Linked DNA regions of Drosophila melanogaster. The protein of the gene in region 2 interacts with the protein of the main gene of each other region in a pairwise test. Each region holds a gene or a part of one and is shown on either strand. Other genes may lie near its edges. The genes, in order: chn, Rel, sqz and akirin.

Region 1 (4,783 bases), on a different chromosome or scaffold from region 2:
AGAAAATTCTCAAAAATGGAGATGAAAAATCCTGTATTTTGGTGTGTGTGTGTGTGTGTTTTTGTTTGCGTGTGTGAGTGCAGCTGAAGAGGCAACTGTAAAATTAGGTTAGCAAAGGAGTTTTGGGGTCTGTGGTGTGGGCTATGGGTTATATGGCTGACTATGTGGTCACATGTGCAATTTGATTAAAACTTGGGTGCCGCTAAAAAAAACTGCTGTCCTCAAGTGACGGAAAAAGTGGACGAAAAAATGACGAAAATCTAAAAATGAACGTCGTCATGGCTAAGTGGTAGCCATTTTTTACCTGCAATCGTTTTGCCACTCGACTGAATGGTTTTGCGGCTAGGGCAAAAACATAAAATCCGCGAAAATTAATTAAAGATTGCGCACCTTACGCTAATCTGTTTTAATGAAATTCCCTTTTATGTTTTTTCTTGGCCTTTAAAGTGGAGTGGGTCATCCTACAGATGAATAAATCCTATTTTTTGTCTGCAATGTTCTCTTTCAATGTATCATGTCAGTACTATTTAATTAGTATTTTATTATTAATGTATTATGCAAAGCTGCTGGCCTTCTTAAAATAAGTAGTACATTGTACTAATAAACCAAGATTATAATATTTTATATATCGAGGATTAAAACAGTTTTTGTTTGGCAGCTTTTTGGCAAAAAATTATAAATACGAGTGAGCATTTTAAAAACATTTTACAAATTGACAGAGTTGGCATGACTAAGCATTGTACATGGCTATAATCCAGTGAATATGTTTATTGATCAAATAAAATTAATCAAATAACCGTATGTAGAATTCTAGGTGGTAACTTAAACTCTACAAGTGTAGCAATTCGGAAAGCAGCTCCAAAATAGTTCGCAATGGGTTAGTGACACAGCTAATATTAGAAGGTAGTAATCGTGTATGATGTAATGTAAAATTATTGTAAAATGGAACCGGAAATGTAATTTTTAAGGAGGATTGCAAATGAAATTCAATTTCAATAGCATTCTATGTAATGGAAATTCTTTTAAGCTTAACAAATGAAAGCTTAACAAATAAGAAAATTGGTCTTTAAAAATCATATGTTGTTGTTTAATTAGTCAAATAATAAATTCAACTATTATTATACTTACAGATAATTAAAAAAAATAAATAACTTAAGAGATTTTTTGCTGTGGCCTTTTTTCCGCGCTGAATACAATTAATTCGATGTTTTCGGATGTTTTCGGCGCGACTATCGATAATACCCCGATACTGACAAATAAAAAATAAATTATTTTTTTATTTTAATATACTCTTTCTTAATTTAAGTCAATTAATAAGTCTATTTATATATTAGAATCGTTTTTTTAGCTTAGTGACAAAGTTTTGCCGGAGAGTCCACTTGTTATGCGTGGGAGCGTGAGCGTTGCGGAATGCGCGCGCTTTTTGCAATTGTGGAAAGCGGAAAAGCGGAGGGGTGTCAGAAGAAGAAGCAGGGCGGCGCAGACAGGAAGCTTTTCCCACAATTGCACAACGTCGGAGAGGTATTATTATTACGCGACAGGCAATCGGCGCGGCAACAACAGCAAACTAAGCAACGCATCGCAGACGCAAAAACAAAACTAAATATTACAACATATTTACTTGGCCCAATAGGGGGAGGGACGGGAAATTTTCCGCCCAACCCATCAGCCACCCCAAAAGAGTGGGTGGCGGAGAATCGCCGTAGGATCCGCTCCTCCGCGACCATTCATATTCATTCAGTCACGAAATCTCATTCGGTGTGTGAGTGTTGATGAGGTTAGTTGTGAAACGCGGTCCGTTCTCGTTAAGTCGGAAAACCGAAAAGTGCATCAAGGAAATCATTTAACAAATCAGTGAAGTAAATTAATTTCCAGCTGCAAAGGAGAAACACAAACCTACTAAACAGTGTGCCGCGCGAAAAGAGGCGAAAAAGTGTTGCATACTCCGGGGCTGGCTGCAAAACCTCCGCTAACATGTTGGTAAGTTGGTGAATAAAATATTTTAAAACAAATCGGATCAGAGTAGCATGGAGTATCTATTAATTGATTTTCCTGGGAGGGGGGGCCTTTCCATATCTATTTTCCAAGCCAAGTGATTTATTGATTTTTCCGCAATGCGTTTGTGTGTGTGTGTGCGTATCTTTTTCGGTATGCACTTTTTCCAGAGAAACATCCCACTGGGGGCAGCAACCCCCAACTAAAAAGCGCCAACTTCTATTTTTCCTTCATCAATACTTCACACAAACACACACACGCACACAGTGGAATAAAAACAAATGGTATTGGTGTGTGGATTGGAGCAGGCGCTCTATGCAACGGTATAGCAACCCCCAAACAATGCACAACCCACCCTCTTTCTCGCTCTCGTTATGGCTTTGAAGGGTATTACTATCCCGCTCTCGCGACAATAGCTCAACTGTTTTGGCATTTGAAAACTAACTGCCGCCCCCATCCCCCCGCACCCACCTATCGTAACCCCCTTAGTTTCTCGCTCCTGGGTGGGTGGTTGTTTTTCACAGCCGGAGCACATCATAAATTTTGTGTCTATAACAATTTTTGTTATATTCAACCACCCCACCCACCTACCCACCACCCCAAAAAGCGACCCACACCCCTTATCAAAAAAGTGCAAAGGAATTGTGTTGCACTTTCGAGAGTTCAACTTCCGTTCGTTCACTCTCGCGCTCTCTGGGAAAATAGAAAATAACGGCACAGGCTTGCGCTCTCTCCAAAGAGAGAGATGCATTTTCATTTCGATTCGATGGGGGGTTTTGCATATGATTTTTTGGGGTTTCGGTTTTTATGCAACATATGCGACTACATATGTATGCATATGTATGTAGGAGTTATATAATTTGTATTTGATTATTTTGCCTTTGACGAATTCCGTTTGTGGCATGGTGTTTTCAAATGAAAACTAAAAATGTGTGGTTTTTTGTTGCCATGGGCAATATGGTGAAAATTTGTGGGTGGCAATGTCTGCTGCAGAATGCAAATAACTGCATTCGAGTGCTTTATATATATATTTATATATATAAGATTATATTCCCACGCACATATTTTATACATTTATATATTATATGGAAAATGCAATTTGTATGCAGTCGAATTGCACTTGCCCGGGATTATGCCTATATAAATAAATACTATGTACGGGGTAGGGGGATACCGGCAACGGAATTTCGTTTCATGGCGTCTCCATGGATTATATATAGAAATTAGTTGTGTTTTTGAAGCTGCTTACATAGACTGACAGCTTAATTGCTTTTTACTCGTCGACAAAAATTGATTTTAAGCTCGAGTTAAACGAAGCCAAGCACTGGAAAATGCCTAGAATGCAACGCATATTCCTTTAGATTGGAAAGTAAAGGGGTGGAAAACGGAAGCAGACTATAAGACAAAGTTAAGCAAGTTCGTTAAGCAATAACAACTAAGTGAGTTCGTTAACCCAACAATACATGACAGCATTGTTGAAAACTTTGACTAAAATTGGAAATCATTATATTAGCGATCACTTTCTTTTATTTCCAAAAGAACCTTATGTACTTTTTGAACTTGATTCTTTGGTAGTCACTACATAACATGAAAAAAGCGTAGCGATCATTTGATTTTATTCTTAGCCGCAAACTGACTATTTCCTGTTGACTTCATTTCATTCACACTCCCCACGCTGATGATGATGATTGAAAAAATCACCCAGGGGCCAAGACCCAGTGACTCACCCGACCGCAAGGCAAGCCAAGCGGAGACTGTACCCAACCCAATGCTCAAAACAAACCCAGTCTCGAAAACGCACACACACACACACACACTACCCACCCACTCAGACAAAGTGGATTCGAGTTGGGAGTTCGGAGGGAGTTGCGCATGCGTGGCCGTGTCCCACGCCCACTCGTCAAGGGGTGTCTCCACATAGGAAAAACATTTACGGAAATCTAAAGATTTGCTCTTTGAAATTATGTTAGAACTCACTTGATCTATAGGAAGTCACAACTAGTACTACATTTTCATTGTTTGAATCCTATATCAACGGGATATAACAACATATAGGCAACGTATTATAACAAATGCCTACATAGACAGTATGCAAATTTGTACCAATAATGTCCCCTCTTTTTTCTCTGTGCATGTTGGATGTGAGATAGTGTACGTATATAAAGGGTTGGAGCGAACTATACAGTGGGAACCAGTGATCGCACAACCACCCCCGGGGTTCCCAAGTTAAATGAGACGTGACAAAGTGCAAGAGTTTCGACCCCTTTGAGAAGTGCCAGGCAGATTTCCTCTTCACAAGTGGCGCCCAAAATGGGAAGCCCTATTCCAGCGAGGAGACTTTCTCCCAACTGCAAAACCGAAGAAGGGCTTCGTCTTCAGGGGCAACAGGTTTTGCTGGCCGTAGGAAGCCATGTGCTGCTGTAATTGGTCAGGCTCATTACGGGGATCGTTGGTTATATCACAGCTTGCACCGGGCCAAGGATGGACTAACGGGTCCACCCAGGCCCAGTGAGCACTGCCTCCGAAAGAACCTCTCAGGGGGATTCGAGGTGGCCCACATGTTGTCCACTGACGGCTGCTCACGAACCGGTTCCAGTCACCAGGCAGCTCCTTTATCCGCGATCATCATCATCTCCATTTCCATCACCACCATCATCATCATCTCCTTGGCCGGCCACTTCCACTTGAGTGGCAATGAAGGCAAAGTAGGGTGCTCAGGCTGCTCCATTTCGAGGGTTAACCTGTTTGCAGTTACCCTACGGTTGAGGTATGTGGGTTTCAGTGCACC
Region 2 (5,955 bases):
AAAATCGTAATCATGTAACTGGTAATAAAAGCAACAAAAGTTGTTCTCCACGTCTTTAAGAATTTCCTAAATAAATATTTGTGCACACAAGGCGAACTTTTAAAAATTTTCATGTTGAGAAAATAAAATATGTTCAATATGTGTTTAGCTATTTTCCGCGTTGTTTCAAAATCGAAAATCCATATATGCACATATGTATTTGTTCCGTTTTAAGCCATATTTATATGCACACAGTTCAAAACTTTTATCGACAAGTGTTTAAAGCTTTTAAGTCGCGCTCGCTCGCACACGCATATTTAGTGCGCTGAACCGAAAAGCTTTTATCCAAAATATACAAACACGTGCGAGGCTCATTCAGTGATCTGTTTCGTTCTATACAGTCCATCGGTATCCGACAATCAGTGCAGTTCGAATTTTCCACCAGGAAAATTTCGCAAAAGCCAACAAAAGAAGTCACAATAAGGTATGCTGCTAGTGAAAATTGGCTAACAAAAATCCATAAAAAATACATAATTGACCTTCAAAGAAATTTGAATAGGCGTTCTTAAGACACGTTTGCTTTTATCAAGCCAAGAAAACGAATTTTCCTTTGTCCGCATAAAGAGCTAATTTTGTAGCCTGCCTATTAATAACTCTAGTCTAGACGCAGACTAGTGGTTGCAAAGTCAAGACCCCGATTTGTTTATGTTTTTCCTGCTAATTGATTATCAATATAAACAAACTCATCGTCAACTGATAAGGTGTAAAAGCATTTACACACACACACCCACACACCTTGGCATGGTAACAAGAGTAAGAGAGGAACGGCGAAGTGAGAAGATTGATTAACACATCAAAAAGTGCAAAGGGATCGTAAATACATACATATATACTCTAAGTGCAGCCTGGCAACAGATCAGCTGTTTCTGCGTGAGTGTGCGTGTGTGTGTGCGCGGGTCCAGTGGGAGTGGAAACCGACTGAATTGCAAATTAGTTCAGTGGCGCATGCTTATGTAGTTTTTTTTTATCATTTAGCACAAGTGTCTTAGGATAAAAGAACATTCCGGTGTTTTAAATTTTCCAACCATGTTGCGACGTTCTATAGGATCCATTTCGGTCTTGGCTTCCCGGAATTACGCCGGAAAGTCTAACTTCAGGTGTGTATGCTCATAAGAAAGTGAATCGGGTCCGAAATAAAACGTAATATCATACGAAGAAAAACAAAGCGTGCGCTAGAGATGAGTGCGTGACGAAAGTGAATTAAGGGAAAAGCCAATGGAAAGCGTAAAAATATATTATTAATAATACTAATATTCGGTACTTGCATTGCATAATTATTATTATTTTATAACACAGTTATAAGTTGTTACGCCGGTTCTCATTATAAATTTGTATTAAAATTCCTTATATCTTTATATTTATATAAGTGTTGTATTATTTATATTAATATTTTGTATTATATACCTTTATATCTTTTTGTCGAAATAGGTTAAATTATATTTATAAAAATTAATCAAGAATAATGGGAACAAACAATCGCGTACGCTTCCATCCCTAGATTTGTAGAACATCTGATTGGGGCGTTGCCACCCAACTCGTTTTATCTGCCGGTGGCAGCTCTGCCTTGTTTTTATTTTAGTGTGCGCGGTGTGTTGAAATCAGGTATTCAAATAAATGAATTTGAACCGTAGTTTCCGTGAAAAGCTGACCCGAAAGCTCGGCGCAAATAGCTTAAACCTGTTATCAGGGCAGCGAGCGTTTTGCTCGCAACTCGTGAGCGATACTACTTGTGTTCGCGCAGTGCTTCGTTCATTTTCGTTCCAGCAGTGGCGCACTAAAGTTCCCCGATTCGCTGCGTCGTTTTTCCATAAATTTGCATATATGTATTAGTTGGGTGGAATACATATAAACAGTGTGATTTCGCTCTGTAAACAACAACCGCGAATCCAGAATTCCGTACATGCTTATAGTATAGCCGATCAAAAAAATCACACTGAGTGGTGCGCCAGAAAAACCCGTGAGTCATCTCGACGTGGCCGCCGCAGATAATTTCCCATCCGCCGAACATCGGGGAAGTACCTAAAACGAATGGTCAGCCATCGGCGGAGCTCGTTTCGATCATTAGCGTTCCGATCGGCGAAGGCAGCGGATCACTTTTGAGTTGTTAAGACGCTATTGATCAGAAATATTGGATTGATACGGACTATGAACATGAATCAGTACTACGACCTGGACAATGGGAAAAATGTGATGTTTATGAACGATGCATCCAGCACCAGTGGCTATAGCAGCAGTACATCACCCAACTCCACCAACCGATCCTTTTCACCAGCCCACTCCCCGAAAACCATGGAACTGCAAACGGACTTCGCCAATCTTAATTTGCCCGGCGGCAATTCACCACACCAGCCGCCAATGGCAAACTCACCATACCAGAATCAGCTGTTGAACAACGGCGGAATTTGCCAATTGGGTGCTACCAATTTAATAAACTCCACTGGCGTTAGTTTCGGCGTTGCTAATGTCACCAGTTTTGGCAACATGTACATGGATCACCAGTACTTTGTGCCCGCTCCGGCCACTGTGCCACCGTCCCAAAACTTTGGATACCATCAAAATGGCCTGGCATCTGACGGCGATATCAAACACGTGCCGCAGCTGCGGATCGTTGAGCAACCGGTGGAGAAGTTCCGCTTTCGGTACAAGAGCGAGATGCATGGAACACATGGATCGCTAAATGGCGCCAATTCGAAGCGGACGCCCAAAACCTTCCCGGAGGTTACACTGTGCAACTACGATGGACCCGCCGTCATCCGGTGCAGTTTGTTCCAAACTAACTTGGACAGCCCACATTCCCATCAGCTGGTCGTGCGCAAGGACGATCGGGATGTGTGCGATCCGCATGATTTGCACGTGTCCAAGGAGCGCGGCTATGTGGCGCAATTTATCAACATGGGCATCATACACACCGCCAAGAAGTACATATTCGAGGAACTGTGCAAGAAGAAGCAGGATCGCCTGGTCTTTCAGATGAACCGCCGCGAGTTGTCCCACAAACAGCTACAGGAACTGCATCAGGAGACAGAGCGTGAGGCCAAGGACATGAACTTGAACCAGGTGGGTAAACCAGCGCGTAAACAATATCGAGTTGCTTGCTTCGATGAGGTGAATATGCACGTTTGCATTTATTATTCACACGTTTAATTGCTCACTTTAGAATGCTTTAGTCAATTAATTATAGGTTGCATTTGCTACCTTTTAATCTTTTTATTTAAGCAGTCTGTAAAGTATCTACTCGTTTAGCTCGAATTATATAAATTTCTCTGCTAAAATAACTGAGCAATATAACATCGAAGCAATTAACTTACTGAAAAGCAACAAAGAACTCACTAAAAAAGTAACACCAACTTTAGGTGCGGCTCTGCTTTGAGGCCTTTAAAATTGAGGACAACGGCGCATGGGTTCCACTTGCACCGCCTGTATACAGCAATGCAATCAATAACCGCAAGTCGGCACAAACTGGAGAGCTTCGCATCGTCCGCCTGAGCAAACCCACTGGCGGGGTGATGGGCAACGATGAGCTTATTCTACTGGTGGAAAAGGTCAGCAAGAAGAACATTAAAGTGAGGTTCTTCGAGGAGGATGAGGACGGGGAAACCGTGTGGGAGGCATACGCAAAGTTCCGCGAATCGGATGTACACCACCAATATGCCATTGTGTGCCAGACGCCTCCGTACAAAGATAAGGACGTGGACCGCGAGGTCAACGTGTACATCGAGCTCATTCGTCCCTCCGACGATGAGCGCTCATTCCCGGCGCTGCCCTTCCGCTACAAGCCACGGAGCGTAATTGTGTCGAGGAAACGCCGACGAACCGGGTCCTCTGCCAATAGCAGCAGTTCGGGAACAGAAAGCTCTAATAACTCGCTGGATCTGCCCAAAACGCTGGGCTTGGCGCAGCCACCAAATGGCTTGCCAAACCTTTCACAGCATGATCAGACTATAAGTGAGGAGTTCGGACGCGAAAAGCATCTAAATGAATTTATTGCTTCCGAAGATTTCCGCAAACTTATCGAGCACAACTCTTCTGATCTCGAGAAGATCTGCCAGTTAGACATGGGAGAGTTGCAGCACGATGGTCATAACCGGGCGGAAGTGCCATCGCATCGAAATCGTACAATTAAATGCTTGGATGACTTATTCGAAATTTACAAACAGGACCGCATATCGCCAATAAAAATCTCGCACCACAAAGTGGAGAAGTGGTTTATCGAGCATGCTCTGAATAACTACAATAGAGACACGCTCCTGCACGAAGTGATCAGCCACAAAAAGGACAAACTGAAGCTGGCCATCCAGACGATACAGGTGATGAACTACTTCAATCTGAAAGATGTGGTCAATAGCACTTTGAATGCGGACGGTGATAGTGCCCTGCATGTGGCGTGCCAGCAAGACCGAGCGCACTACATACGACCTTTGCTGGGTATGGGATGCAATCCAAATCTGAAGAATAATGCCGGAAATACCCCACTGCATGTGGCCGTCAAGGAGGAGCACTTAAGCTGCGTGGAAAGCTTCCTTAATGGAGTGCCAACCGTACAATTGGACCTCTCGCTAACGAACGACGATGGTCTGACGCCTTTGCACATGGCCATTCGACAGAACAAGTACGATGTGGCCAAGAAACTGATCAGCTATGATCGGACCTCGATTAGCGTGGCCAACACAATGGATGGTAATAATGCACTCCACATGGCAGTTCTGGAGCAAAGTGTGGAGCTATTGGTGCTCATTCTGGATGCCCAAAATGAAAACCTTACCGACATCCTGCAGGCACAAAATGCAGCCGGCCATACTCCCTTGGAATTGGCCGAACGCAAGGCAAATGACCGGGTGGTCCAGCTGCTGAAGAATGTGTATCCGGAGAAGGGAGAACTGGCCATGACCTGGATTCCATGTAAGGTCAAGGAGGAGATCGATTCATCGTCGGACGAAAGTAGCGATGCTGGTCAGCTGGAGATCAAGTCCGAGGAGATGGACATCGAAACAAAGGACGAGGATTCCGTGGAGTTGGACCTAAGTAGTGGTCCAAGAAGACAGAAAGATGAATCCAGTAGAGACACCGAAATGGACAACAACAAATTGCAGTTGCTGCTCAAAAACAAATTCATTTACGACCGGCTCTGTTCGCTGCTGAATCAGCCTTTGGGACATGGGTCCGATCCCCAAGATCGGAAATGGATGCAACTAGCCCGCCAGACGCATCTGAAGCAGTTCGCCTTTATATGGCTGGGCGCGGAGGATCTGTTGGATCACGTGAAAAGAAAAGGAGCCTCTGTAGAGTTTTCCACATTTGCTCGTGCCCTGCAGGCAGTGGATCCACAGGCTTACGCCCTACTGGTTAACCCAACTTGATTATGTATTGAATGTTGATCAATAAAGTACCTTAGTTTTACAAATACTATTCTCTTGTGGAATGAAAAATACGCGAAACTAGGATGCCTGGGATAGCAAGCTTTATTTTTAAATATCAGAGCATTAATTTATTTTCCTTTATTAGCATTTATTTAGTTTCCTTTATTATTCCATGGAATCTATTCTTTAGAATAGTTCTATAAGCAATCTAAACTTGTTCCCTCAAACAATTACCATCGGCGCCCTGCATGAGATCACTAGCAAAAGGGGATCCATCGATAGCTCGGCATTAAAAAGTACATTCTAAGAATGGGGAATCACTAATTTTTCATTGCCGCTCGCGCACGCCGCTTGGTAAACAAGTGGGTGAATCATACATGTACTTATGCGCCTAAGTGTGTGTTGTGGGGGAATTACTGTTGCGTAACTGCAGTGACAGGCGGGGATTTACCGACAGCCCTTATCATTCCCGGTTTATGACCTTTCCTGCTATATTTTTTCAAGAATATCGCAACTAAATAATGTTTTAAGGAATAGTACAGTGTAATCTCATTCAATT
Region 3 (7,912 bases), about 10 Mb from region 2:
GCTGGAGATAAGCATGTGGCGTTTGAAACAAATCATATTGTTATTCATGTTTTGAAAATATCTACAATTAATGTAAAGGTTGTTCTAATTTTGCCAACGATAACTACAAAACATATATGTTCTATCCAATATATTTACATACAGGGTATCAAATTTACAAATAAATTGGCAGTGTGGCCATACGTTGCGAGCAAAAATTACTGTACTTCAAGCATTGCCAACACAAGAATATTTTCATGGTTAAAAATTTTGGCGCGATAAAGCCGCAGTTTAAAATGTCAAAGTGTGCGCGTTCTTGGAGGTTTACCAAAATTTAGAATCATGCTTTTATTTATCGTGCATAAGTTGGTAAATTGGAATTAAATCAAGTTTTTTCCAATTTGTTTCTGGTGTGTCGTTTGTTTTGGGGTCTGTACGGCTGCTTTAATTAAAAAATATTAAAATGAAGCACGCTATTCTTTAAGGACTTTAAGGAAACGTACCTTTCTATGTTTGCCCAGGAGTTGATAGACGATATCAAGGCTGAGGATCGCATCCTACAATGTCCTTGGTGCGAAGAACAGACGTTGAGTCCATCAGCCAGCACCCGGAAACTTTTGTATTGGCTTTTAACGCTTTCAATTCGACTTTCAGAAAAGAGTCTCCTCGAAAATCACGACTGATATCCATGTAAATGAATCGGTAGATACTTGCACTTTCTTTTTAGTTATTAAAACTGACACACTGTCACTTTGCAGGTTTTAACCGCTGGCGGAAATGAAGAAGGAATCCGGGAATATTCATTTCAGTCCATTGTGGTGCACAGCGGAACTCCCCTCAGGAACAATCTTAGCCCACTAAACATCAATAAACTACTAAAATAACTTTGACTGCTGCTTAATTTCAAATATACATAAATTAATATTTTTTATTTTTAAGTTAAATTTTTTAATTCTTTTGGAGGCTCAAATTTTATATTTGGCGCAGCACTTTAATGTAGAAAATGTGAATAAAGAAATATTTCAAGGGTAAACAACAAAAAATGTTTTGATTTTGTAAAAAAAAAAACCTTAAAAATTATGAGGAGTTATAAAATAATTATCAGTTTCCGGAACTTTAAAATTCTTATCTTCAATTTGATCTTCAAGACATATTTTTCTTATAATAATATTATCAATAATATTATATAATATGTAACGGATATTTAAGTTCTTCATTTTCTTTTTCAGAAGTATTAACAAATGCATATATATAAATACATATATATTTATACAATAGAATCGCATAGGCATGAATTCAGCGCGCAAAATAATATAATTACAATAACATTGATATTATATAATAGATTATAATAATATACATATGTAAGTGTAAGTTATAAAATGGTAACAAAGTTCAACAGCTCATAGGCGAAGATCCAGTGGCACGGAATTTTCAATACAGCCAGGAGAACATCCTAATATTTTGGATAAACTCTTTGTGCCACTGTTCCGGGTGATGTGCATCATGTCCAGCACGGAGGACCTTATGTACCACTATTGCTGTTTCCTAGATTAGGATTCGCTAAAAGCTTAAATTGTAATTTCAGATTCCCAAAAATAGAAAATACCGCCAAAAGTCAGGGCAATGGCACTGCAGAAAGGATGCAGGATATTATATGTTCTTTTTGTTTTTCTCTCCCCAGAATTTGGCCCAATTAAATTTGGTATTCGAAAAAAAGAGCACGCCTCCTCCCCGAAACCGAAAAAAAACTCTGTGGCGCCGGGAACAAAAAAGAGCGCGAGAGAGTGAGAGCGCACACATAAAAAACATAAACAAGCCTTTTTCACTAGTGTGCGTTTGTGCGGAGAGAGAAGAGAGCGAAAAACAACTTCTGAAAAAAGACGCTCTTCGCTGTGATTTTTTTTCAGTCAGTTTTTCGACGGTCGTGAACACGAACAGTTATTCTAGCTCCTCCTGTTCTGCTGCTTCTGTTGGTGTTTTTTTGCGTTTGCCGCGACGTAAACAACCGAAGAGCGGAGCTTACGCCCCCAACTGCTCCAGCTCCACGCCCCCCTCGCAACGTGTTCGTTGTAAATGCAATTAATCGTTGTTGGTCGCTGAAAAAACTAATATTTCGGGAGTCCGATACAAGAAGGGCAAAAAAGCACAAGTGCAGAAAAAGCAAAAAAAAACATAAGCTTGCCGTGTGTGTGCGTTGGTGTGTGTGTGTATTTTTGGCGTGCGCGGCCATTTTTTCTTGTTGCCACTCGAGAGTCTCTTCTGTGTGCGAAAGAGAGGCCCGACGGCAAAGCAGAACGTAGCAAACTACGCAAATCCCCACTAAATTCGCTAATTTTCGCTAAATAAATCAATCGCAAGGGGTGCCCAAAAACAAACAAAAGTACGAAAATAGAGTGCCGCAGACCACAAACAAATCACCTGCGCCAGTGTGTGTGAGTGTGTCAGTGTGCGAAACAGGCAAGCTCCCAGGCGGGCTCCCACCCACAATCAGTCGGCGAACACGTGCTCCAAAATATCAACAAAAGTTGGCCCACAAACATAAAAAAGGGGGCCGCGACTGCATCCGAGACCCGAACGCCGGAACACAAAAGGCACTTTCAAATTGGTAAGTACTTTGCGCTGCACGAGCATGTTTTATTTATTTGCCTTATTGGTCAAACACACTTGCGATTGCGGTGTTTGTTTCTCTTTCCCGCGCTCACGCACAGTGGTCGCTTTTGTTATAATTGTGAGACTTGAAAACGATCGCCGTAAAATTCACATTTTTAACAAAATATTTACTGTTCGAAAGAGGGGTTTTTTGCGAATCGATGATTAGTTGACGTGTTATTATGAGAAAAACATAAAAGATTATAGGACATTATTTTTTTAAAAATGTTGCAAAAATGATTTAAAGTTTGCGATTTCCTTGTTAAATAACATGAAAGCGTTTACAGTTATTACTATTACAAAATTATAACGATTTAATATGCATATCCTTTATATATTAATTGCTACTTGAAAATTACCTAATGTAAAAACTTATATAAAGCAAATGAATTACAATTTATTTATTGGTTAGGACTCTATATCCTATTTTATAAAAAAAAAATAATAGCACAATTTCCAAAGTGTTTGTCCAGTGTTCCATTGGTCAAATACTTATTGTTTCCTTATTTCCGAATCTTCGCTATTTGGGGAATAAGTCAAAACCTTTAAACTCCAAACATTTGTAAGCCGAATGCGACTGTCAACAAATAATTAAACCAGAATAATTTCAAAAGCGTTTTGCAGTCGTGCCGCACTACTTGACCATTCCGTTTAGTCGCTTGTTTGACTTTTTATGCTCGTTCCCATTCATTTGGTGGCGGTTTTTTTTTCATTTGTGTTTGTGTGTCGATGTCTTTTTATCTTCCACTTTTTTCGTACTCATCAAATATTCGCTTCTTTTTTCGCACACATGTCGCCCCCAACAAAAGAGAGTGAGAGAGCAGTCCGATTGCGGTTGTTGCGCTGTTGTTGTTGTTCGCTCGCTCGTTCGTTTGTTTATGCTCGCTCTTTGCTCTCTTTTGTTTTCAGCTGCTCGCGCTCAATTAATTTTCGTTGATTCGTTTTTTGTGTGTAGGTTTTTTGTGTATACCATTTTATTTATACGCTTTTTGGGCTTCTCTTTCTCGTGTTTTTCTTTTTTGGGGTTTTCTTCTTTTTTTTTTTGTTGTATTTTTGGGGACTGACCGATTGCGTTTATTTATCCCCAATTTCCCCATTTGCATTCATTATGTTGAGCGGTCAATTTCCCGTGTTTCTGGATCTGTTGTTACACGGTTGCGATTACGATTCCGGCTTCTGTTTTATATTGCTCGCCACTTTCGCTTATTTCATATTACAATTGTTTGTTCGGCAAACAATTGTTTGCTTGTCGCCCCGTCTCGCTCTAAATGTGCGCAACAAGCGAGTGGCGCGTCCTTTTATTTTCTGCATTACATGGCCGCCCTCCCCCTCCCCATCTTTACACAGAATTCCTGCTACCATGCTGTTCAATTGTCCAACGTCAGCATTAACAACAACAACAACAAAGGCAGAACCGGTTATTTTGACCAGGCAAAACCAAAAAAAAAAAAGCCAAAAATTGAATTTACCTCTGACGTCAACACCCACCCGACCAAAAGGTCGTATTCAAATTCGCGCTCAGAATACAGTTTCCATTTCACAAGACCTGATTTTGCGATTTATATGCAACTATTTACTTATAATGCGTTATGCACATAAACCAATGTTGTTTAAATTAATTATGGAATACTTGGACATTTTTACAGACATAAATACATGAGTTTGAAAACCTTATTTCGTATCAAAAGTCACGTGTTTTATGCACATTATAAATATTTCGGAGACTTAAAATTAGTTAGTTAAAAGCCAAAACTGAATCCCAATTCGCATAATAATACCGACATTTTCTAGTGAAGATAAAAGCTATGATTAAAGATTTGAGTAATGACTTTTGCCTGTTTATTTGTAATGATACTATAGTTATTTGTATTTGTCAAATTTCAAATTATTCGTATGTTTGCATGAATGCACTAATATTTTATAAATATTTTTAAAACAACGCATTTAATGTTTTTAATTGAGCAATAATTGCGACGCATTGTTATTCAGCGAATTATCAATTATTCATCCCAGCTGAAATATTTAAACGCCCTTAAAAACTTTAAGTTTCATTACATTTTATCGCAACGTATTCTTTTCAAATACGCTTCCGTTTTGATTTAACGAGCAACAACTTCTGAAATAGATAATATATTCTAAGAAAATTGACCATTTTGGCGTAATTTAAAGTAAGATATTATTAATTCTTTTTAACTTTGACTTAATATAAGTTTGGAACACATTCTTTTCATGTGTTTTTTACTGTTGCATGGAAATCCCACATTTTAAGTAATTCATTTGGGATTTACAGACCAAGAACATCAGTGGTCCATTGGAAACCCGGCTGCATCGCCCTAAAAAGTGGCAGAGATGTAGTTGCATTCAGTTCTCGAGGTTGTTGACACGTTCCGTTGGCGCCCCTGACGTTTTTTGCCTTTTTTGCTTTTTTTTTTTTTTTTGCCTGCCCATCGTCACCTGGCCACAGAGTAATCGCGATTTTGGTTCTTCGGGCCAGAATGCGATTCCATTTCGCTTTCCATCTGGTGGTTGTCACCAACAATTTCTGGCCGCAAGCGCCTTTTTTGTTTATCTTGTGATTTTTTCCGTTGACTAACTCTTTTTTGCCCGGCATTGTTATTAATTCTCTGCGCTTTTTGCGCCCCATTGGCAACTTTTTACTGGGTTGCAACAGTTGTGCTTTCAGTCAGTACCTTCTGCGCGCAGCACGTTTAATTCACAAACAATTAATTAATTCATGCATATTTATGTTAATGTGCAGAAATTAATGTACCCAACGGCGGGGAGTGGAGCGGCCAAGTGGCAGAATCGAAAAGTAGTTTAAGCACTTGTGCCGACTGGGCACAAATTTGTGGATTCAAGAATTACAATATTTCTGTACTTTCAGCACAAAAACGCGCCGAGTTGTGTAAGCCCGCCGCCAGTGAAGTGTCGACTTCCCGGCGACGAAGACCGCAGCAATATTTCCACTAGCCAGTAACGCACAGGCTCGTTCCGCCGCTGACGACGACCCCAAACTGGACGCCCGCACCATCGCCTACCGCCCGCTGACCCTTGGCGGCCACCAGACGCCGCTTATGGCCGAACTGCCGACGGCGCCGAACGGCGTCCCCAGCGGCGATTATCTGCACCGCTCCATCGATCAGCTGCGTTCGCTGGGTCATCTGACCACCGCCCAATTGGTTCACGACTACAAGCCCTTCAACATTAGCGAATTCCGGCAGAATGTCGCTGAGCGACTGGACTACTCGCTGAAGAACGGCCTGGTGCAGCACCAACAGCAAATGGTCATGGAGCAGCAGCCACATCCCGATCAGCAGCAGCAGCAGCATCTGCATCACCCGCAACAGCAGCAGCACCCGCCGCAGCTGAAGGTCAGCTACAGTGCGCCCAACTCGCCGCCCACTCCACACGAGCAGCAGGAACAGAAGGTAATCACTTATTTCAATATTGAAAAAATATATCATACGCATATAAATGTTACTGATATGATACTTAAATTGCGATCTTAATATTTCTTCGGTCAAAGATTATATGACTTTGCTTTAGTAACCCATTCATCGTGTACTTAATACTAAACGATACCCTTAAAACGTTCTATCTACTTCCAGTACGACCCGAATCGATCGCCGCCGCGTCAGCAGATGAGCAGCGCTAGCGGCAGTGGCAGCAACGGCTCCTCGCCTGAGGAGGAAAGCCGACGGGGAGACGGTGATCAGGCCAAGCCCTACAAGTGTGGCTCGTGCAGCAAGTCCTTTGCCAACTCCTCGTACCTGTCGCAGCACACGCGTATCCACCTGGGGATCAAGCCGTACCGCTGCGAGATATGTCAGCGCAAGTTCACGCAATTGTCGCATCTCCAGCAGCACATCCGTACGCACACGGGTGACAAACCGTACAAATGCCGGCACGCCGGCTGCCCGAAGGCCTTCTCGCAGCTATCCAATCTGCAGTCACACTCGCGTTGTCATCAGACGGACAAGCCGTTCAAGTGCAACTCCTGCTACAAGTGCTTCAGCGACGAGATGACCCTGCTGGAGCACATTCCCAAGCACAAGGACTCCAAGCACCTGAAGACGCACATCTGCAATTTGTGTGGCAAATCGTACACGCAAGAGACCTACCTTCAGAAACATCTGCAGAAGCACGCAGAGAAGGCGGAGAAGCAGCAGCATCGCCACACGGCCCAGGTGGCTGCCCACCAGCAGCACGTACCGGCGAGCGGCATCGGCTTGAATTTGCAGCGCCAGGCCATGAACGATGTGAATGCCGCATATTGGGCCAAAATGGGCGCAGACAGTGCGGCGGCTTCGCTGGCGGAAGCCATTCAGCAGCAGTTGCCGCAGGCCGGCGGTCAGCCGTATGGCAACTTTGCATCCCTGCAGCAGCAGCATCAGCAACAGCAGCAGGAACTGCTGCATCATCAGCGATTGGCAGACACGCCGGGGCATTCGCATAGTCCTCACGAGGAGGCCGCGGGCGAGGATCTCGTCCTGCGCCAGTCAACACCACAACATCACCTTCAGCAACAACAGCAGCAGCAGCAACAGCAGCAGGCCCAGCAGCAACAACAAGCGCAGCACCAGCCATCGCCTGGACCGGGAAACTCGGCCTTCACTCCACTGTCGGCGACAGTGGCTCCACCGCCACATCTTCAACAGCATCGCGGTCCGCCAGGATCCGCCGCTGCCTATCTGTATCAGCAGAATGCGGCGGCAGCAGCAGCGGCTTTTCCCACACAGCTCATCTCGCTTCACCAGATCCGAAACTATGCCCATCAGCCAGGAGCGGCGGGTCTCATCGCTGGCGATCATCTCGCCTTGGGCCTGAGCGCTGTTAATGCCGCCAAAGAAAAGGCGCAATAGTACAGGCCGTCAGGTCGGGGCCAAAAGAGGCAGCAACGATGACATTAGCTTAGGATCAACGTTTAAGTTGGTATGGATACAAGAGCGTGGTATTTTATTCTCTTTGAATCCATACCAATTGAAACACTGAAAGTAAAATAAGTTACTCATAGTTTCCAGTTGGCAGTGGCATAGGAGCTGGGATTGTGACTGGTTTTTCTTAAGCATCCTTCCAACTTCCAAATTCATCATGAAACTTGTATACGATTCGGCCAAAATCAACTCCATCACTGCCCAAAACCAATAAGAAAATCAACTGCAATCCTACAGTTTCTGTGCTATTTTCAACTGCCATATGAAAGTAATATGTAATATCTAGATCAACTCAGGATTTTAAATACGATAATTATGCACACTTTTAGATATCTATAAGCAATATT
Region 4 (6,268 bases), on a different chromosome or scaffold from region 2:
CAGGATCATCAGAACGCGCTGCTGGCGCTTCTTCACCTGTAAAATTGGATTTCGACGGTCAGTGAAAGCATTTAAATTTGAAAAGAAAGTTAAAAATTAAAGTATATAAAATACCTTTAACATGTATCGTTTTGTTCAGTGTAGCTACCTTTGACAACGCTGTTAATTACAGCGATGACAAATCGCTAATGAAGTGTTACCGGCAAGCCCAAACGCACACAAGCGCACACAAAGCCAACTCCCCGCCGATATAAACATATGTACGTAAAAAGAACGCCAGAACCACGCGATATGATAAGGCTAATTAAAATGGTTTGTTGCACCCCAGCATTTATCTTACGATAAGAATATGTGTTTCCCAACGCTTTTTTAAAGTGTACAAAGACAGGACAAAAACAAATAATTGTGAACCGTACAATGACCGTTATGTTTTTGTTCTTATTGGAAGAGGAAGATTGCCAATTGAACAAAGGCACCGAAAGAGTGAGAGGGGGAAGTGAATCACCCCTCACGCATGTACACACACACACACATGCACACGCACCCACGCAACTGCGATCAATGGAAATCCCTCTCTTCCATGAACAATTTACAGTTCACAGTGGAATGAGCTTATATGGGCAATGAAATGTATGTTTGTTCTGCTTCTTGCCACCACTAACACTCGCACACAAGGGCACTCACGAAAATACCCACTTGTTTTTCTTTGACTGTACAGACATACAGACTTACATACCACACACTACATCATCATCATTGTCCAACTCACGTACATACACACAAAGACGAAACGCAGCAGAAGAAATAGAATTTGCAATGCGTTCGTCACCACTTTAGTTTGCTTCTTTTCCTTTTTATCTGTTTGTCGCTAATACCAGGGCCAAACATTCCAATAACATGACACTATTTCGGTTTTAAGCCCGCCACGCCCACAAACTCACCTCCTTATTGCCGGACATGCCGCTGACGTAGACTTTCAAGACCATTTTCGCAGATTACTGTGTCCTCGCACCGCAAATGAAATAATATTTTGCAACTAAAATCTGCTGGCTACTTTCACGGCGATTAAAAATATTTATAGATCTTTTCTTTTCCTGCTTTCTTCCGTCCTGCGCCCCTACGTAATGTTTTTCCACTGGTGACGAAGGCACACGCACTGGGCAAGGTCGTTGGTTTTATTGGCTGTAAAAACGGCAAAGACGCGGATAAAAAAATTGCCTGGCGACGCTTATAAAAGTGCAAAAATATTTGATATCAGGAGTGGAAAATATTTCCTACTTTGTCGTTGAATTGAATGGTGGGACCGCGCATTGACGGCTATAGAAAACCTTCCGGCTTATCAAATATACTAAATATGATGCTTGATTAAAATACTAAAAACTTTGAACTTAAGTGATATTTCAAAATTAAATATTTTTAAGACAACTTAAATTTTATTATGCTCCCATGTAAGGTTTTCATTTTTTAAACGTTCTTCGATTAATAATCGTAATAATAAAATAATAATTTATAAAAAGCATAAGATAGGCTTTTTAAGGTTTTTTAAAAGATAGAAGAAAAGGATTCTTATTATAGAACAAATTATTTTTAATTTGGCGTCGATGAGTTAGCGGCTTCAAGGAACGGTGGAATTTAGAACATGAGGGTGTTTTTTATTTATTAATTTTTTGTTACTTGGAGTTGAATTCCATAAAAATAAAAATGCAATAATGCTAACTTTCTACAAACGACTTAAGGTTATAGGACTCAAGAAAGTACATAGAATATGCAATTGAAAAATGTTCTCCCCAGACTTTTCGGTTATTTGAAGTTTTTGCTATATTTGGTAGAACCATAAAGTATTTTTTGGTATAGATCCGTTAGCAGGGCAACCAATATTAGCGGTCGCCATGCGGTCACTCTGTTCACGTCCCGTCACGCAAGCATCGTCGTCCATTTTTGCTAAGAAGCGAGACGAAAATTTGTAAATTATATCTAGCGAGTCGCCGAGGACGAACAACTATTGACAGTGCATTTCAGTGGCCTTTGGAATACTGCTCAAACAACCAGCAAGCAATAACATTACTTATATCTAACCGAAAACCTAAATTAATCACCCAAACTGAAGTACGGACGTGAATGTAAGTGGGTATGTGCCAGCGGACTAGTGGCACAATAAAAAAGTAAATAAAGCGCGTGTGAAGTGGTGCAGAAAGCAAAAAAGCAGTCGGAAGGAAAAATCAAAATACGCATTAATGTAAGTGCGATTGTTGGAAAAGCTGTTTAACTTTTTGTTCCTCTGAAAAGCTGATAATGATATGCGATGCGACCATTTTTAAAATTTCATGAAATCAACATTCCAACTCACAACGGTGTGCGTGTGCGTTTCTTTGTGTGCGTGCGTGTGCAGGCTAGAGTGGGACAACCAGTGTGATCGCTTTGGCTGCTGCCATTTCGTTTGCTTTTTTTTAAACTAATCTCTGGCATTTGTCACGTAAAAGAGTATAACGTTAAACCCAAAAACGTTTTGTATATGGCTTTAAATATTTAATAATTGTGGGCAGAGACAGCAACACCAGCAGCAGACGCATACACACGTGTTGCGGTTTATCGAGAGGGCAGTGTGCGTGTGTTAGTGCGGAAAACAGCTGGTACAGCTGCCGCTGCAGCGACGAAGAAGAAGAAAAGAAAGAAAGGGGAAGAGTGAGAAGAACACGCATTATTATCCTGCGTAGTTTTCTTTTATCGGTGGTTGTTCTGCTATTGGGTTACAGTTTACACTTTTCTCTGTTTTCTTTATTTTCCCTCTGCATTGCTATGCATTTTGCCTTTGCGTGGTGGTTTTTTTTATTTTCATTGTCGGTCGTCCTTTAATTGCGCTGCGCCACTTCGTTTCGTCGCTTTCTTTGGCTGGTTTCTCCTTCTCTTCGGAGTTTCTGGATTCGTATTCCGATTCGGTATCGCCCTTTTCCTGCGACAACAGCAGCTGGGTGCACGGTATCGGAGCTGTCGGCGATAGCCGAAAGAAGCTAGAAACCCCAAGGAAGCCAACATCCTTTTAATTGTCGTGGAAACTATAATAGTCTCATAAAAATTAGGTTTTTAAAATGGTTTTGTCATTCTATTCTAGAAAAAGCTATGAATATAAGAATATAACAATATGTTTAATTGCTTACTAATTTTATTGAACAATATAATTTAATCGTGACGAAATGGGGGAAAAAAAACATTTTTTTGTTGTCTTGAATTTTTTTTCCTCTCTTGTCATGATTATTTAGGTAAAACGGACGTCATCAAAGTCATTAAACTTACGCGAACTTCGCATTTAAAAGTTTTTTACTGGCATTTCTATTTTTAATAGCTTTCTGGGGAAAATATCGGATAATAGCTTTTCAAATTATGCATTGCTAGCAACTTTGACTAGCGAAAAGTATTTACTAAAAATTTTTGTACCTTCCTATTTTCGGCGCTCTTTTTAAGCAAAGGCCCTTGTTTTGTAGCGTTGAAGCCTCAAATTATTTCCAAAATCACGCCCCATAAGCGATAAGATAAGAGAGCGTACAATTGTTGCCCACGATACATACAAGGCGAGAAAAAGTCCAAATTGCCAGCATTGGCGGCCATAAATCGCTGCACCATTTTCTTTTATCGGCTGCGTGTGCGTGAGTGCACGCCTGTGAATCCTGTTTTTTCCTTGAAACCAGTTTGCGTCCGTCTTTTCTTTGCCAGCAAGGTGTTCACTTCACCTTACTCATTCATTGTTTGTTTGCCCATTGCAGCCGACGCTTGATCTTCCATCTGCAGCATCCATCATTTGGAATCGAGGCAATAATCAGCATCTACCGACAATCAAGCAAGCCATCTATCTATCAGAAGACCACCGGGTAGTAGAACCTCAATCATAGCGATGGCCTGTGCAACCCTGAAACGAGCCCTAGACTGGGAGTCGATGAACCAGCGGCCTCCGAAGCGCCGGCGTTGCAATCCCTTTGGCCAGGCTGGGAGCAATGCAGGTCCAGCGTCGCCATCCCGCGACGGTCCCAGCACCTCGGCTGGTCTGCCCCACACGCCCAGCAACCGATTCGCCAAGGATAGCACCGAACCTAGTCCGTTCAGTGAGTCGTCGCTGGCCAAAATGTCACCAGGTTAGTAAATCAGGTCGATGCTGGAAAAGGGACGTCGGATTCCTTTTATGCATATTACCTTAATACACCTTTCTTCTTTTCGAAACACAGACAAAATGGCCGAGAGCTTGTGCAATGAGATCAAGAGACTGCACAAGCGCAAACAGCTGCCGATCACTTCGTCGGCCTTGGAACGCATGCAGGATTCGGAGTCCAGCGGATCGGAGATGGGTCCAGAGAGTCCGCGCCGCCCGGACAGTCCACAGAACCTGATGCGCCACGGCGAAAAGGCCCTGTTCACGTTCAAGCAGGTGCAGCTCATTTGCGAGAGCATGATCAAGGAGCGCGAGAATCAGCTAAGGGAGCGCTACGAGTCCGTGCTGACCACCAAGCTGGCCGAGCAGTACGATGCCTTTGTCAAGTTCACATATGATCAGATACAGCGTCGCTACGAGGCAGCGCCTAGCTGTGAGTTCAAGTTACCATCGGTCATGGTTATAGTGCTAATTACATTATATTTTTATTTCAGACCTGTCGTAAAGCTGTGTACACAGCTGTAGCCTCAGAAAGAAGAAATTAATAATTGCACTACGATCTTATGTGACGGTAGATCTACCGCGACAACAACAGCCCTCATAAACTATAACAAACAACAAATAAGGAAACTAAAGCAAACGCAAAACAAACCAACAAAAAAAAAAAACCTAAAAAGCAAAAAACCTAAAAACAAACAAAAAAAAAAAAACAAACTACAACATACATCGTGTTTAATATATTTTGAAATACACGCGAAGAAAACGGTTATAGTTTATGCCTAGATTTACATATATATATTGTATCGGTTAGCAGCAAAGGGATGAATTATTTAAAAGCAAGCAAAAACCACAAAAGAGAGAAACCAACAAACCAACTTGTTAAATTTATGTTTTTCACATAACGCAAATTCTAAATAAAATGACAAATATCAAATTATGAACTATATGAACTATAAGCACACCGCCACTGCAGACATATACATATGGGTGCATCCGTAGAGAGAACGATTCAATGAAACCTCAAACGTAGCTTCGTACATAACAGACCGACAGAATTGGCAAATATATAATGTTAGGCACATGATGTAGCATATAAGGTATGATGTAAAACCTATCAAACTACATATATTGTTTTTTTGGAAATTGTAATTTATGAAGCGAAGCAACAAAGATAACTCACAACTCATGAAGAACACTTTTCATAGTTTATTTTTGCATATTAGTTGTAACACTAAGGCGAGAAACGAACGCTTGAATTTGCCTATTTTCTCGAGTATCGTTTGTTAATTGTTTCTTCCTTTGATGCGAATTATTGCAAAGTAATGTAAACACACAAAACAATTGAAATGTTTCGATTTGCTTTACACCATACAAAAATGAATAACGAAAAGAAAAGGCAAACAACAAAAAAGGTATAAAAGTTATTCATTAAGTTAAATTGAACGCTTTCTTATAAAATACGCTTGACAGAAGATGTTTCATGTTCATTGCAATTATTTTTTCACACCTTGAAGAATATATACGAGAATATATGATATATATATATATATATATTTTTCAATTACCGCAATCATACATACTACTTTATATTAGTAATTTAAACTTAAAATTAGTAAAGAAATGCCATTTTTATATTAAAACAAACAAAAATAAAATGATGAATTGTAGATGCCCGCTGGTCTTTTCTTTTTAAAGCTTTTTATTCTGTTTGTGAAGCGAACTCTTAATTTCATCCGTTTATAAACCACAATATTCTTTTTTTTATACCAACCCGTATTATCCGAATAAAACTCAATTGGTTCTGGTTGCTCCAAATCCAGCTAATGCTAAATGATTAACCAGGTTTTTCAATATAATTTGCGAATCTAGCAAAACTGCCATAGGTGGGGAAAAGACTGAGCAAAATGAGAGATACCTTTTGTGCAAAACTTTCCATTTGTGAATAAAATTATGAATAACCTTTACAGTGGCTTCTCCAGACTCTGAGAATATTCATTTTGATTTATTTAATGTGTTTGTGCGTTCAACAGAAACTTTCCAAACTTAACACTAGTTAACTAAAAATACGCTTGATTCACATGCTTACAATTACATAATAATGCATTAAAAAGTCTTCAATAATAAATACAT

Evidence for each region.
Region 1: the proteins of Rel (region 2) and chn interact in binary tests that used the Drosophila melanogaster proteins (3 or more experiments, as listed by UniProt).
Region 3: the proteins of Rel (region 2) and sqz interact in binary tests that used the Drosophila melanogaster proteins (3 or more experiments, as listed by UniProt).
Region 4: the proteins of Rel (region 2) and akirin interact in binary tests that used the Drosophila melanogaster proteins (3 or more experiments, as listed by UniProt).

The regions. Positions count from the first base shown.
Region 1 is NT_033778.4:15,113,709-15,118,491, forward strand, and holds the start of chn (charlatan), read left to right. Parts: upstream 1-1,752; 5' UTR 1,753-1,980; intron 1,981-4,783. UniProt on the Drosophila melanogaster protein: Probable transcription factor involved in the development of the adult pattern of macrochaetae. Required for accumulation of achaete (ac) and scute (sc) in proneural clusters.
Region 2 is NT_033777.3:9,043,665-9,049,619, reverse strand, and holds Rel (relish), read left to right. Parts: upstream 1-1,642; 5' UTR 1,643-2,184; coding exon 2,185-3,096; intron 3,097-3,392; coding exon 3,393-5,396; 3' UTR 5,397-5,437; downstream 5,438-5,955. UniProt on the Drosophila melanogaster protein: Transcription factor that plays a key role in the humoral immune response as part of the peptidoglycan recognition protein (IMD) signaling pathway.
Region 3 is NT_033777.3:19,162,330-19,170,241, forward strand, and holds the start of sqz (squeeze), read left to right. Parts: upstream 1-1,881; 5' UTR 1,882-2,587; intron 2,588-5,515; 5' UTR 5,516-5,705; coding exon 5,706-6,059; intron 6,060-6,239; coding exon 6,240-7,493; 3' UTR 7,494-7,912. UniProt on the Drosophila melanogaster protein: Transcription factor involved in neuronal fate specification. First required in embryonic CNS development to define the number of cells that express apterous (ap) in the ap thoracic cluster of interneurons.
Region 4 is NT_037436.4:7,367,949-7,374,216, forward strand, and holds akirin (akirin), read left to right. Parts: upstream 1-1,894; 5' UTR 1,895-2,120; exon of another isoform or gene 2,121-2,236; intron 2,237-2,391; exon of another isoform or gene 2,392-2,602; intron 2,603-2,851; exon of another isoform or gene 2,852-3,077; intron 3,078-3,758; 5' UTR 3,759-3,886; coding exon 3,887-4,124; intron 4,125-4,214; coding exon 4,215-4,571; intron 4,572-4,632; coding exon 4,633-4,643; 3' UTR 4,644-5,763; downstream 5,764-6,268. Other genes in the region: Sh3beta, read right to left, coding at 1-36, 942-986. UniProt on the Drosophila melanogaster protein: Molecular adapter that acts as a bridge between a variety of multiprotein complexes, and which is required for embryonic development and for normal innate immune response.